3 linked regions of the Arabidopsis thaliana genome follow. The protein of the gene in region 1 purifies or fractionates together with the protein of each later gene. This does not show direct contact. Each region holds a gene or a part of one and is shown in the gene's direction. Other genes may lie near its edges.

The links.
Region 2: the proteins of NRPB4 (region 1) and NRPB11 fractionate together in Arabidopsis thaliana (co-fractionation; one large-scale study listed by BioGRID). This does not show direct contact.
Region 3: the proteins of NRPB4 (region 1) and NRPB9B fractionate together in Arabidopsis thaliana (co-fractionation; one large-scale study listed by BioGRID). This does not show direct contact.

Annotation. Positions count from the first base shown.
Region 1 is NC_003076.8:3,094,209-3,097,962, forward strand, and holds NRPB4 (RNA polymerase II, Rpb4, core protein), read left to right. Parts: upstream 1-1,974; 5' UTR 1,975-2,067; coding exon 2,068-2,116; intron 2,117-2,294; coding exon 2,295-2,403; intron 2,404-2,543; coding exon 2,544-2,621; intron 2,622-2,769; coding exon 2,770-2,803; intron 2,804-2,898; coding exon 2,899-2,967; intron 2,968-3,084; coding exon 3,085-3,162; 3' UTR 3,163-3,434; downstream 3,435-3,754. Other genes in the region: AT5G09910 (Ras-related small GTP-binding family protein), read left to right, coding at 1-108, 191-244, 336-463, 538-724; ABCF2 (ABC transporter family protein), read right to left, coding at 3,435-3,635, 3,737-3,754. UniProt on the Arabidopsis thaliana protein: DNA-dependent RNA polymerase catalyzes the transcription of DNA into RNA using the four ribonucleoside triphosphates as substrates. Second largest component of RNA polymerase II which synthesizes mRNA precursors and many functional non-coding RNAs.
Region 2 is NC_003074.8:19,317,403-19,321,156, reverse strand, and holds NRPB11 (DNA-directed RNA polymerase, RBP11-like protein), read left to right. Parts: upstream 1-2,033; 5' UTR 2,034-2,158; coding exon 2,159-2,211; intron 2,212-2,292; coding exon 2,293-2,382; intron 2,383-2,471; coding exon 2,472-2,550; intron 2,551-2,656; coding exon 2,657-2,746; intron 2,747-2,834; coding exon 2,835-2,930; intron 2,931-3,055; coding exon 3,056-3,088; 3' UTR 3,089-3,308; downstream 3,309-3,754. Other genes in the region: AT3G52100 (RING/FYVE/PHD-type zinc finger family protein), read right to left, coding at 1-6, 218-296, 380-468, 549-641, 752-801, 880-1,054, 1,196-1,249, 1,328-1,667 and 1 more; chx28 (cation/hydrogen exchanger 28), read right to left, coding at 3,422-3,754.
Region 3 is NC_003075.7:9,201,723-9,205,407, reverse strand, and holds NRPB9B (RNA polymerases M/15 Kd subunit), read left to right. Parts: upstream 1-1,592; 5' UTR 1,593-1,646; coding exon 1,647-1,808; intron 1,809-2,461; coding exon 2,462-2,620; intron 2,621-2,798; coding exon 2,799-2,879; 3' UTR 2,880-3,056; downstream 3,057-3,685. Other genes in the region: AT4G16270 (peroxidase superfamily protein), read right to left, coding at 44-328. UniProt on the Arabidopsis thaliana protein: DNA-dependent RNA polymerase catalyzes the transcription of DNA into RNA using the four ribonucleoside triphosphates as substrates. Component of RNA polymerase II which synthesizes mRNA precursors and many functional non-coding RNAs.

The DNA of each region.
Region 1 (3,754 bases):
AATCTTGTTGATGCAGCTCGTCATTGGGTTGAGAAGCAGGGTCTGCTTCCCCATAGTGATGAACTTCCTCTCTCTGAGAGCTTCCCTAGCAATGTTGGTCTCATAATGGTAACCACAGACTAAATTACTTGCTTTATTTGAATTTAGTGTTATGCGGTATGTCATATAATTTTGGTAAAATTATGCACAGGCTGCCAAGGAAGCTAGATATGACAAAGAAGCTCTGACCAAAATTTTCCATATGGTTGGTGTCATTTCTGACCTTGCCATGTTTTACAATAGCTCTCTCCCTCTCTCTCTTTCTCTTCAACCTAATGAACGTTTTTCGTTTTCAGTTGATAAGAAGAAGATATTTCTCAGACGAACTACCGTCGCCTTCTTCAGCATGGTCTCTTTCCCATGCACCTTCCCAGCGGTTAGATGAGGGCACAAGTGATGAAGATCAGTTCTATAAAAGAACAAGGTATATATATTTATCATCCTAAAAAAAATCGGATTTCTTTTCTTTATCGGGTTTTGGTCTTTTGAATTTTGCAGCCTAAGGGAAGGAGATGCTTACAAATATAACACATTACCGCAACACAATCTCATGCAGTCTCCTACACTCTATCCGCAGCAACCACCTGACCGTTACAATTACGCTATTCCGAGATTCTCTCTTTCCAGTGTAGAGGAAACCAGCAATGGTAATGGCAGGTCTAAGCGGATGGATATTAACGTCTGAAAGTAAAACACAGATCAAATCTCACATTATTTTCCTGTAATCTTCCAAACATTATCTTCTTTTATTTGTCAACACTCCAAACATAATCTAAGTATTCTTTTTTTCTAAATAATACATGATTCGTGTGATAATTATCTTAATCATGTGAAAAAAACTTGATAAGTTTTTTTTTTTTTTTTTTTTAAGTTGGTAAGTATAAGCTTGATCAGTTAGAATTTAGAATCCCAAACTAAATCGGATTGTAAACAACTCAGTTCCTTATAAATACACTCGAATCATAATTGTAAGACAAAGAAGAAGAAAAAAAACAAAGTGTTGTATCCAAACGATGAAGACAACAAAGATTGAGAGTGAAGCCGTATGTAAGCATTGGTTTTTGTATATAGCGGAGTTCATCAAAGAAAGACTAAGTGAAGCGAAACTCAAGGAATACATGGGGTTGATGAAACAATTTAGGTCCCGGCATATACAAGGAGATGAACTCATAAAGTCTCTTCAAAATCTGTTTCAAGGAGACGTGGTTCTTTCTCAAATGTTCAACGCACTTATGAAAACAGAGATCCAAGAACTGCAAGGTAACGAAAATCCGGAAACAGTCGCAAGAAAAAGAACAAGGAGTGAAGCAGAGAATGATGATGGGATTGAAGAAGGTGAAATTCGAGAGGGGCATTGCGATTGTCCTCGTTGCAAGATTGGTCGGGAAGAAGCAGAAAGGCGTAGTATACCCATTAAGAAAAGAATTTGTCGTGGGTTTTAGAAGATTTTGTTTTGTTCTTAATATCACATGTTATTCAGTTTGTGCTTTTCAAATATTTTTCCAAATTCTATGTTACTACTCAATTTATGTTAAATCATAAAATAACTTGGGTTTTTTTTAATCAAATTATATTATGATAAATTTTGTTGTTCTTCTCTATTTATCATCAATTATAAATATATTTCTAATTAATCCTGTTATGATGATATTCAATTTCTTGCAGAATATATGATTGTAGTAAACAATTTTGATCTTTTTTTGCTATTAAATCAAAAATTTATACCAACTTTATCAAAATCATTGCCTATTCAAACTTGATGATTATTATTCGGTTTATTTCAATTTTTCTCTATTACTAACATAGTAACATTTATCTAATTAACCTCTCTTCCCCAAAAAAAATCTAATTAACCTCCTTGGATTTTCCTTTTTTAATTATAGAGTTTGCTTCTTTTTTTTTATATATAACCGGTCAAAGCTTTTGTTTTGTCTCATATTCATCACTTTCGTTGTTAAGACGGAAAAAAAAAAAAAAGAGGCAGAACCAAAAAACTTTAGGGTTCGATTTCGCTCCTTGGTAATCACCATGTCCGGAGAAGAAGAAGAGAACGCCGCCGAACTCAAGATCGGAGATGGTACTTCTCTATTCTCTTCGCCATATCCCCCGCTGTGTACCTCAAAATTAGGGTTTCTTTGCCTCATCGAATTGATCTTAATTCAATACGATTTAATTGAGCTTAACTGTATCGAAAATCCCTTAATTATTTGAGATTTATCATCGAAATTGATGGGTTTTATTCTCTTTGACAAAAGAGTTTTTGAAGGCAAAGTGCTTAATGAACTGTGAAGTCTCTTTGATTCTTGAGCACAAGTTTGAACAGCTTCAGCAAATCTCAGAGGATCCTATGAATCAAGTTTCTCAGTAAGTATAATTGTGTTTCATAGAGATTCATTGTATATTAGCCATCATGAATTGAAGAATTTAGTCAGTTTTATATGTTACTTCTAGGTTAGTGAATCAATGTTGAATATTGTTGAAGAAGTTATGTTTGCTCCTTGCAGAGTGTTTGAGAAGTCCTTGCAATATGTGAAGCGATTCAGCCGCTACAAGAATCCAGATGCTGTTAGACAAGTTCGAGAGTATCCTTTTTCTGAATTAGTTTGATTCAAAGTTTTTAAGTAATCGTTGCTTTGACATGCTTCCTTCTTGATGAGTGAGATTTTACAGTCACTGGTTTAATTCTATAGTTTTGTGAGAATATGCTATTCCTTAACTCAACTTTTGCAGAATACTAAGCAGACATCAACTCACTGAGTTTGAGGTACAATGTTAAATCTCTTGAGATTGGATTTTTGTTTATCAATTAAGTCGTTTCGGTAGAAGACTTAAAACATTGCATTGTTCATTATTGAACAGCTATGTGTTCTTGGCAATCTCTGTCCTGAAACTGTTGAAGAAGCAGTGGCAATGGTTCCTTCTCTTAAGGTAAATAAAGATTCTACTTTTTCTATTCAGTGGAGATAATAAGATAACCTCAAAAGGACAAATTGTATTGTTATGTAAGTGGACTTTTGAGATGATGTAAGCTTCTCTTTTGTGTAGACAAAAGGAAGAGCTCATGATGATGAAGCTATTGAGAAGATGCTCAATGATCTCTCACTTGTCAAGAGATTCGAGTAGTGCAGAAGATTCTCAAGATCTAAGATTCTGAACATTTAGCAGGATGCTTTACTTGCCTTCTAGCTGATCTGGAGTTAATTCGCCACGTCTGAAATTATAAAGCTTTAATGCCTAGAATTTCTGGAATGATACCTTCATGTTAAATGAATGTAATTTACAACGGATGATCCAAGCTTTTAATGAAATATACCATCTCTTTTTCACTAAATCAAGTAAGGGATGACACTATATACATACTACACCTAAAGCAGCTATGTGTGAACTGTGAAGCTTTAATTCCATCTCTTGGCATTTTTGCTGGACTTTGACTTCTTTTTGGAAGCTTGAAACGCTTTCATCTTTTGCTTCTTCCGTGCTTCTCTCTCAGCCTTTGACATCTTTGACTTTGCTTTCACTTTTGGAGCTTTTTCTTCCAATTCTGCTTCCCTCTCCAGCTCCCTTGCTCTAGCTTCAACATTCTTCTCCAGGAAATACTGAGAAACAGTTCAAAACAGTTCAAAACACAACCTAGAATGAACAAATTTGGCAAAGGTCTATTTACAAGAGGAAACTAGGTTGAGAGAGATTTCATTACATTGTAGTCTCCTGCATA
Region 2 (3,754 bases), on another chromosome or scaffold:
GTAAACCTACGTGATGAAATCAAAATAATTTGTCAATTCAAAGAATGTAAGAAAATTCTGCAAATAACTGCTTTTGCAATACAGATGTCTGGATAGTATAGGGTAACAACTCCAAAATACATAACTCTATTAATTATGGCCAAGAATATCTAAATATGATGCTTGGAAACAGAGCGCACGTTTTCCTATCACCGAGGAGGAGAATATGTAAATATACCTTCAAACATACAGGACAATAATTCCCCTTAACAAACAACCTTCCACAAGCATCACAACAAGTATGCCCCAAAAACCACCTGCAAAGTTTAGAAGGAATAATAAGAGATAGTGCACTTTACATGAATAAATTTCAAGTATCACAAGGCAAAAAGTTAAATACCGTAAGCTCTGGCCATTCCCAGGGACTGTAGACTCACAACTGTAACATTTGGTGTGCTTAGGACACAAATAGGGTCCAGAACTAACATTCTGTAATATTCAGAGATTAAAATAAACCAATTTGCAAAAGATAAGATAAGAACCTTATACAGACGCAATAAATACTATACCTTGTGCCGAGGATGTTGGCAATCACAATGATATGCATCATCACATCTTTTGCAGAACATAAACTTTTTTGGATCCCCTAAAGTCCCGCAGCCCTAAAGGAAAAATGATCAAAAGAATACAAATAATCAAGCAGCAGTCATACCTAGCCCAGCATGTAAAGAGCAAGAATAATCATTGAGCACAAAGTTGTGTCCGAACATACCTCACAGATTCGGCAAGATGGGCACGCCCAAGAGCTCCAATTAAAAAGATCTGCTAGCAAAAACCGGTATAAGAATCTAGGCAGAAAGACTCATAAGTCATAAACAATAGATTCCTATGAAACAATACCTCTATGTTGGGCCCAAGACTTCACGCAGTTTCTATGATACTTCTTCCCACAACATTTGCAAGAAAGCATCTTGGCTCTCTCACTCTTCCCAACTTCAACCAAATAGCACATGTGACATGTTATGCTTGCACTGTGATGATCATGATCTTCTTCATTGAGGTCTTTGACTGAAACCTACATAGAGAAAGACATAACATTGAATTAGTGTCTTGACGAGAATAGACTTCATAATCATCCAAAAAATCACAAGTAGTTTACATATAAATCATAGATTACAGAACCCGAAAAGACAGGACAACACCAAAACACATACACGAGATACAGATAATCAACATCACTGAAAACACGTTTTCTCACAAAGACAGATTCCTATAAACAAGTTCAATTCAATTGACATAGCAGTAACCCCTAACCACAAAAACAAGTTTCGCAAGTAAGAATTCGAACCTCTAAGTCGCCAGAACAATCATTCGCAGCATAAACTTCCACAGCCTTCTTCTGCAACACCAAGGTGCGTTTAGCTGGTACCAAATTCGATGATGCAGCAACAACCTCCATCGCCGAATCACTCCCAACACCAACATTTCTAGCCGCAATGCGAGGACCAGTATCGAAAACAGCAAGCTTAGGCACATGGATCTGAACGGTACCGTCCTTGGAAACCTCAGCATCCCAGGGGTTTCGCACGAACTCCTGAAGAGAATGGATCTCTTTGAGATACACATCCTTGACTTCATTACCATGAAGATTCCGAGAAAACCCCAAAACGCAGAAGCAAATTTTCCGGCTGCGGAGAAAGAACGAAAGAAAGAAGAAAACCCCCAAATTAGAACAATTCGATTAGTAAAAACAAACAAGCCAACGAGTAAAGGAGGCGCCAAAAGAAAGAAAAAAAAACATACCATGTAATTGGACAAGCTACGTGAAAGGCCATAGTCGGTTTTCAAGTTTTACGCTTTCGGGTTCGATTTTTAGGGATCTGACTTCTTTTCTTTTTTTCCTGAATTTTTTGTTAGGTTTCTGAATTAAATCACTCGTCCTTTATTGTGTAAATAATATAAACCTAGAGGTCCTTAAACGGAAATATTATGTTTTATCGGCCCGATCCGACCCAAACTGTATACACCAATAATAATATAACACGTGGAGATTCGATCTTTTTTCTTTTATGAAAAACGACGTCGTATTATATTTTGTTTGCCAGAAAGAAACTGAAGAACTCTTGACTGTCTCTCTGCGGCGAAAAAGAGAGCGAAGCTTGAAATCTCCGATTAAGCCATGAATGCTCCCGAACGATATGAGCGATTCGTCGTCCCTGAAGGCACCAAGAAGTAATTGAAGTTTCTATCACTCGAAATCATACTCGATAGTCCTCTTACATGTGCTAAACCCTCTCGATTTCTATGTTCTAGGGTTTCTTATGATAGGGATACGAAGATCATCAATGCTGCTTCCTTCACGGTTGAGAGAGAAGACCATACGATTGGAAACATTGTCCGCATGTACGTCTTTTTGTTGATTTTGCAACTCTTTTCTCAGAAAGAAGAAAGCCCTAATTTTTGTCAGCTCTGTTCTGAAATTTTTGTTTTAGGCAACTTCATCGCGACGAGAATGTCTTGTTTGCTGGATACCAACTTCCTCATCCTCTTAAGTACAAAATCATAGTGAGGGTAAGTTCCAAGTTTTTCAGTTGCTTCTACTGTAGAGCCTGTTGCTTTGAATTGGAAAGAACAATGCTATCCTCTGCGTTTTTTTCAGTTCATTGATTGACCTTAGGATCCAAAAGATTGGTTTAGGAACTTAAAAGTAGTGTATGGTTGTTTGGAAACCGTGAATATTTCTTGGTTTAAGCTTCTAGTGTTAACAGTTTCCTCTGGGATTACTGGTTGCTTAAGGACTTATAGAAAGATCTTGTATGTTGTTGTTTAATTGTGAAAGTGGTTTCTGTATGTAGATTCACACAACAAGCCAGTCTTCCCCAATGCAAGCATACAACCAGGCCATCAATGACTTGGACAAGGAGCTCGACTACTTGAAGAACCAGTTTGAGGTACATAAGTTTCTCTCTTCGGATATACTTATCTGATTATGTGGTTAATAAGCTAGACGAATATCAAATGCTATTGATGTTGTTTGATGTACCTGGTCTTATGGTATACCCTTCTGTGTTTTCAGGCAGAGGTGGCCAAGTTTTCGAATCAGTTTTAAGGAACTTGGAGTTCTCCATCAGCACATCGGGGAAAACGTTTTACATTGTCTTTTGCTAAGCACCAATCAAGACTAATAATGAGCTTGGGAAATTTTCCCTAGTTATGCTTTGTATAAATCAAAAACAAATCGGCCTGTAACTTCTTTTAACTCTATGTTTCAACACCATTTCAGGATGCTATGAAGTAATGCTTAGATTACCTCTTCTTTTTACCATTCTATCTACATAAACCGCTTAATGTTTGAACTATTGTACAAAGTCTCTTTAAGAGTTGTGATGGTGAAGCTACTACTCTTCCCAAGCTACTAAGTAAAGTGCATTTGTACAGATATTCACAGTATAGTGAAGTCATCATGAAGCCCTTCTAGCTGACCCCGAGTACGCTGCTGCTGAATAATTAACATTGATGTGTTGTGTGAGAAATCTGATCCTGAAAGAACGTCACCTATGGGACCAAGCTCTGGACATTGCTGCCAGTCGTTGAGGCCGGTGGTTAACCCACTGCTCGCTCTTCCCCCTCCTCTTCCTACAATCACCAGCCCATACTCTCCATCTAGTGATTTAAGAGCTGTGAAAGTCTCAGAGGAGTTGGTGAGATGCTTCTCCATGTAAGACACTCTTCCACCTCCAGCTATGTATCTTTCGTAGAACTCAGCAAAACATTC
Region 3 (3,685 bases), on another chromosome or scaffold:
GACCAAAACTATTAAAACAAACTTAAGATGAGATGTGACTTGCATTGACAAAACAGTCGTGGAAATGAAGACGGAGAAGAGAAGCAGCCATTCTTGGATCCTCTAACACCGTGGTTTCCACCCACGAGTAGACGATAGACTCTGCTTCGGGGCAGCTATTCCGGTATAAACCAAAATCAAGAACCAAATCGAACCCTATGCCAAAGCTTGAACCGGTTTCTCCACTCCCGTCTTCGCAACTCTCGCTGAAATTGGTTGGATTCTCGGAGAGTGAAAGAATTGGCATTGCAAAGAAAAACATAAGGAACAAGTTAAAGAGATTCTTCATTGTCGTTATATGATCACTCCACTTTCTTCTGAGTTTTAACATTCAATGGAGTTGGTACTATATTAGAAAGCTAGTGTATGTGTGTCCATATTTATAGAAACAATTCAACTATATACACATACATAACACGTATATATGTATGTGTGACTGCATGACTGCATGTGCACTTCAACAACCCAATTACATATTATGTACTCGTCAAATTAATCATACGTACGTCAATAAATGTATGTATATATAAAAGAAGTAGATTGGCAAATATTCAAGTAAAATTGCAATGTTAGTATACCAAATGATTAACAAATTCTCATAATACAATTTATGATCAGCATGTATAATTGTGTGTTTTTTGTTGTTTTTTATGCATGAATTATTATTTGAGCAAAACAAAACGTTTTGGACTAAACTATATACGTGATAAGGGATAAGATTGCATAAGGTGGCTGGCTAATGGCTATTATTAGTAAGTTGTAATAAAAAGGAACAAAAGAGTAGTAATGATATTGTAATGAATGAAGAGGAAACACACAAATAAACCATGTTGTTACTATTGCTAGTGCTAGTGCAAGTGCTAGAGAGATGTGTCGGTATACACTATAGAGTCAGGAGTAGTTAAAAGACAGACCAATTCAGCAGTTGGAATCTGACAGAAGTTAGTAGTATATAATGTGCTTAATTTCTTTCATATTTTTAATAGAACAGAACTTATATAATGAATATCGAATAATTTTCACAATGATATAAAGGTGCATGGGGATATGCATGTGGTTGTTAATGTAAGAAAAAGTACACTAGTCTTCAATGAAGAAAGGGTCAAATTTATTTCGTATTGTCCTCTTCGTATTTCTTTATTTGTATTTTTTTCTACCCCACAAGTTAAATTCTGATATGGGCCGGCCCATGGGCTTTACGCATTTATTGTCTAAATGCCCGAGAAAGTTCATGAAATTACATCCGATTGCCACTACGCAGTCTTTAGTCTTTACTAGAGCTTGACCTCTTCTCTCTCATGTCCGAGTGAACAAATCCCGCCAAAGATACGAAGAGACTGATTGTGAAATCAAAGAAGCATTCAAAAGCTCGTTATCTAAAGATTCTGCGAAGATGAGTACTATGAAATTTTGTCGCGAATGGTAAATACGAATCTCTTCGTTTTTTTTATTTTGGGGGTCAAAACGAATCTGTTCTCTGCTCTTTTATACTAGTCTTCTGAAATTGAAATTTGGGTTTTCATTTCTTAGCTCATATTGAATTATATATTGTACCCAGTTCTCTTAAGTCTCTAATTGTCGGAATTTTAGTTTTGGATGGTTTGCTTATGTTTTCTATTGGATTAAAGCTCCAACTTTTCTCCACTTTTGCAGCTTATGAACCTTTGATTTTGTTTTTTTTTGAAATGTTCAGTAATAACATTCTATATCCCAAGGAAGACAAGGAGCAATCAATCCTCCTCTATGCGTGCCGTAATTGTGATCACCAGGTAAACTTTGTTTACTATGCTTTCTTTTATAAAATTAGGTTTCCTTAGTGTTAATGGAACAATGTGGTGTTGAAACAAAGCTAGGGCTGAAACCAATAGACTTTAGTTGTTCACTTGTATATGATTTGTGTTGATATTTATTTAAGCTCTGATGTTTTACTCTTTGTAATCGCTTATACGGTTAAAGGTCGAATGTCTGAACTTGAAGTAAACCAAGGAATGATAATTTAATGAGTTTAGATCATTTTCCTTGTCTCTCATATCATGAATCTGATTGGTTAAGATAGTAGTGCTTATCAGTATAAAGAGTTCTTTGAGAACTTCTGAACAAACGCAAGACCTTTTAAAAACCGTTTAGAGGGTTTCTGCAACTTAACTTCTAAAACCATTTGAGTTTCAACAATATCCATTGGTGTTACCGAATCTGAGTTTTTTTTTGTTTCTACTGTTTGTGTTATGTTTTGTTATTACAAAGCATTATGCCTTTGTTAGCTACTGAAAACCATTCTAGATGAATCTCTGTATGGGATCTTTAGCTTAATGCCCGGACTTGCTAACCGAATTAGTTATAAACTTACTGAGTTACTGTTAGCTATTTATCGTCCTGTTGATAGAAGGTCTTGAAATTTATATTCTTTTATTTGGCTTTGCAGGAAGCAGCAGATAACAATTGTGTTTACAGAAACGAGGTTCATCACTCTGTAAGTGAACAAACTCAGATCCTATCTGACGTTGCTTCCGACCCAACTCTTCCACGTACCAAGGCTGTGCGATGCGCCAAGTGTCAACACGGTGAAGCTGTCTTCTTCCAGGTGAATCATTATCTTATATCTTAATCTTTAATTCGTCATCAATCAAGGAGTAAAGAAACATTCTTTCGTTTTTCTCTGATCTAACTTAAAGATCAAAAGAGATTTCTTTCTCTTGCTTTTTAATGTGCTTATGGCTATTTCGGTTTGATATAGCTCGTGTGTGTCATCGAATTTTCAGGCCACGGCTAGAGGCGAAGAAGGAATGACTCTGTTTTTCGTTTGCTGCAACCCGAACTGTAGTCACCGTTGGAGAGAATAGATTGATAGAAGACTACATTTTTCAAATGTAACGTGTATTTGTGTTCCGCTTTATGAGTTTTATACAATTCAATTTGGAGTTTTCTGTGTAAAAATATGAATACTATGAGACTGTTCTCGGGTTTCTTGAATTGTTTCAGGGTCTTTTATGATCATTTTGGTTTTTATGTGGGTCTAATTATAAATTTGTCGTTTTATGCGGGGCCGATCTGAAAATTCGTCCATAAACCATGATAGTGTTGAAAATTTGTATACGTGGAGTCTAGCCGCCGGCTGCTATAACTTTGCTATAACGTGTGATATTATAAAAAGTTGATAAATCTAATCTTCTAAACCAAATTGTTTTAATAATGCTGTGTTTACTTCGTCATCGTATCGAATTATACGGCTGCTCTTGTTAAGTGATGACAATATCTTCAAATAAAGTTTTTTCTTTTGTAAGCAAATATGATAAAACTACGTTAGCTAATAGCCAACTTGGTCCATCATAGTTCATAAAGTCAAAAAATCAGTAACCAATTCATGAGTGGAATTATACTTGATTCAATGACACTGTTTAGGAGCTTATCTAAATTGCACAAGTTTTGTTACACGTAAAACACAAATATGCCAAATTAGACATGTTTCTCGTCATTCTAAAACATTAACAAATATTTACATAGACGCAGTCAAATAAATCAAATTTCGTATGATAAAAAAAAAACAAAAAAAATAGCAAGGTTGATTTGTCAATGCTGGCAAAAATAAGCAATGTCCTAATTTCTCAAGTTGGAAAGTGACATTTCTCTACCCATTTTTTGAAAAGAT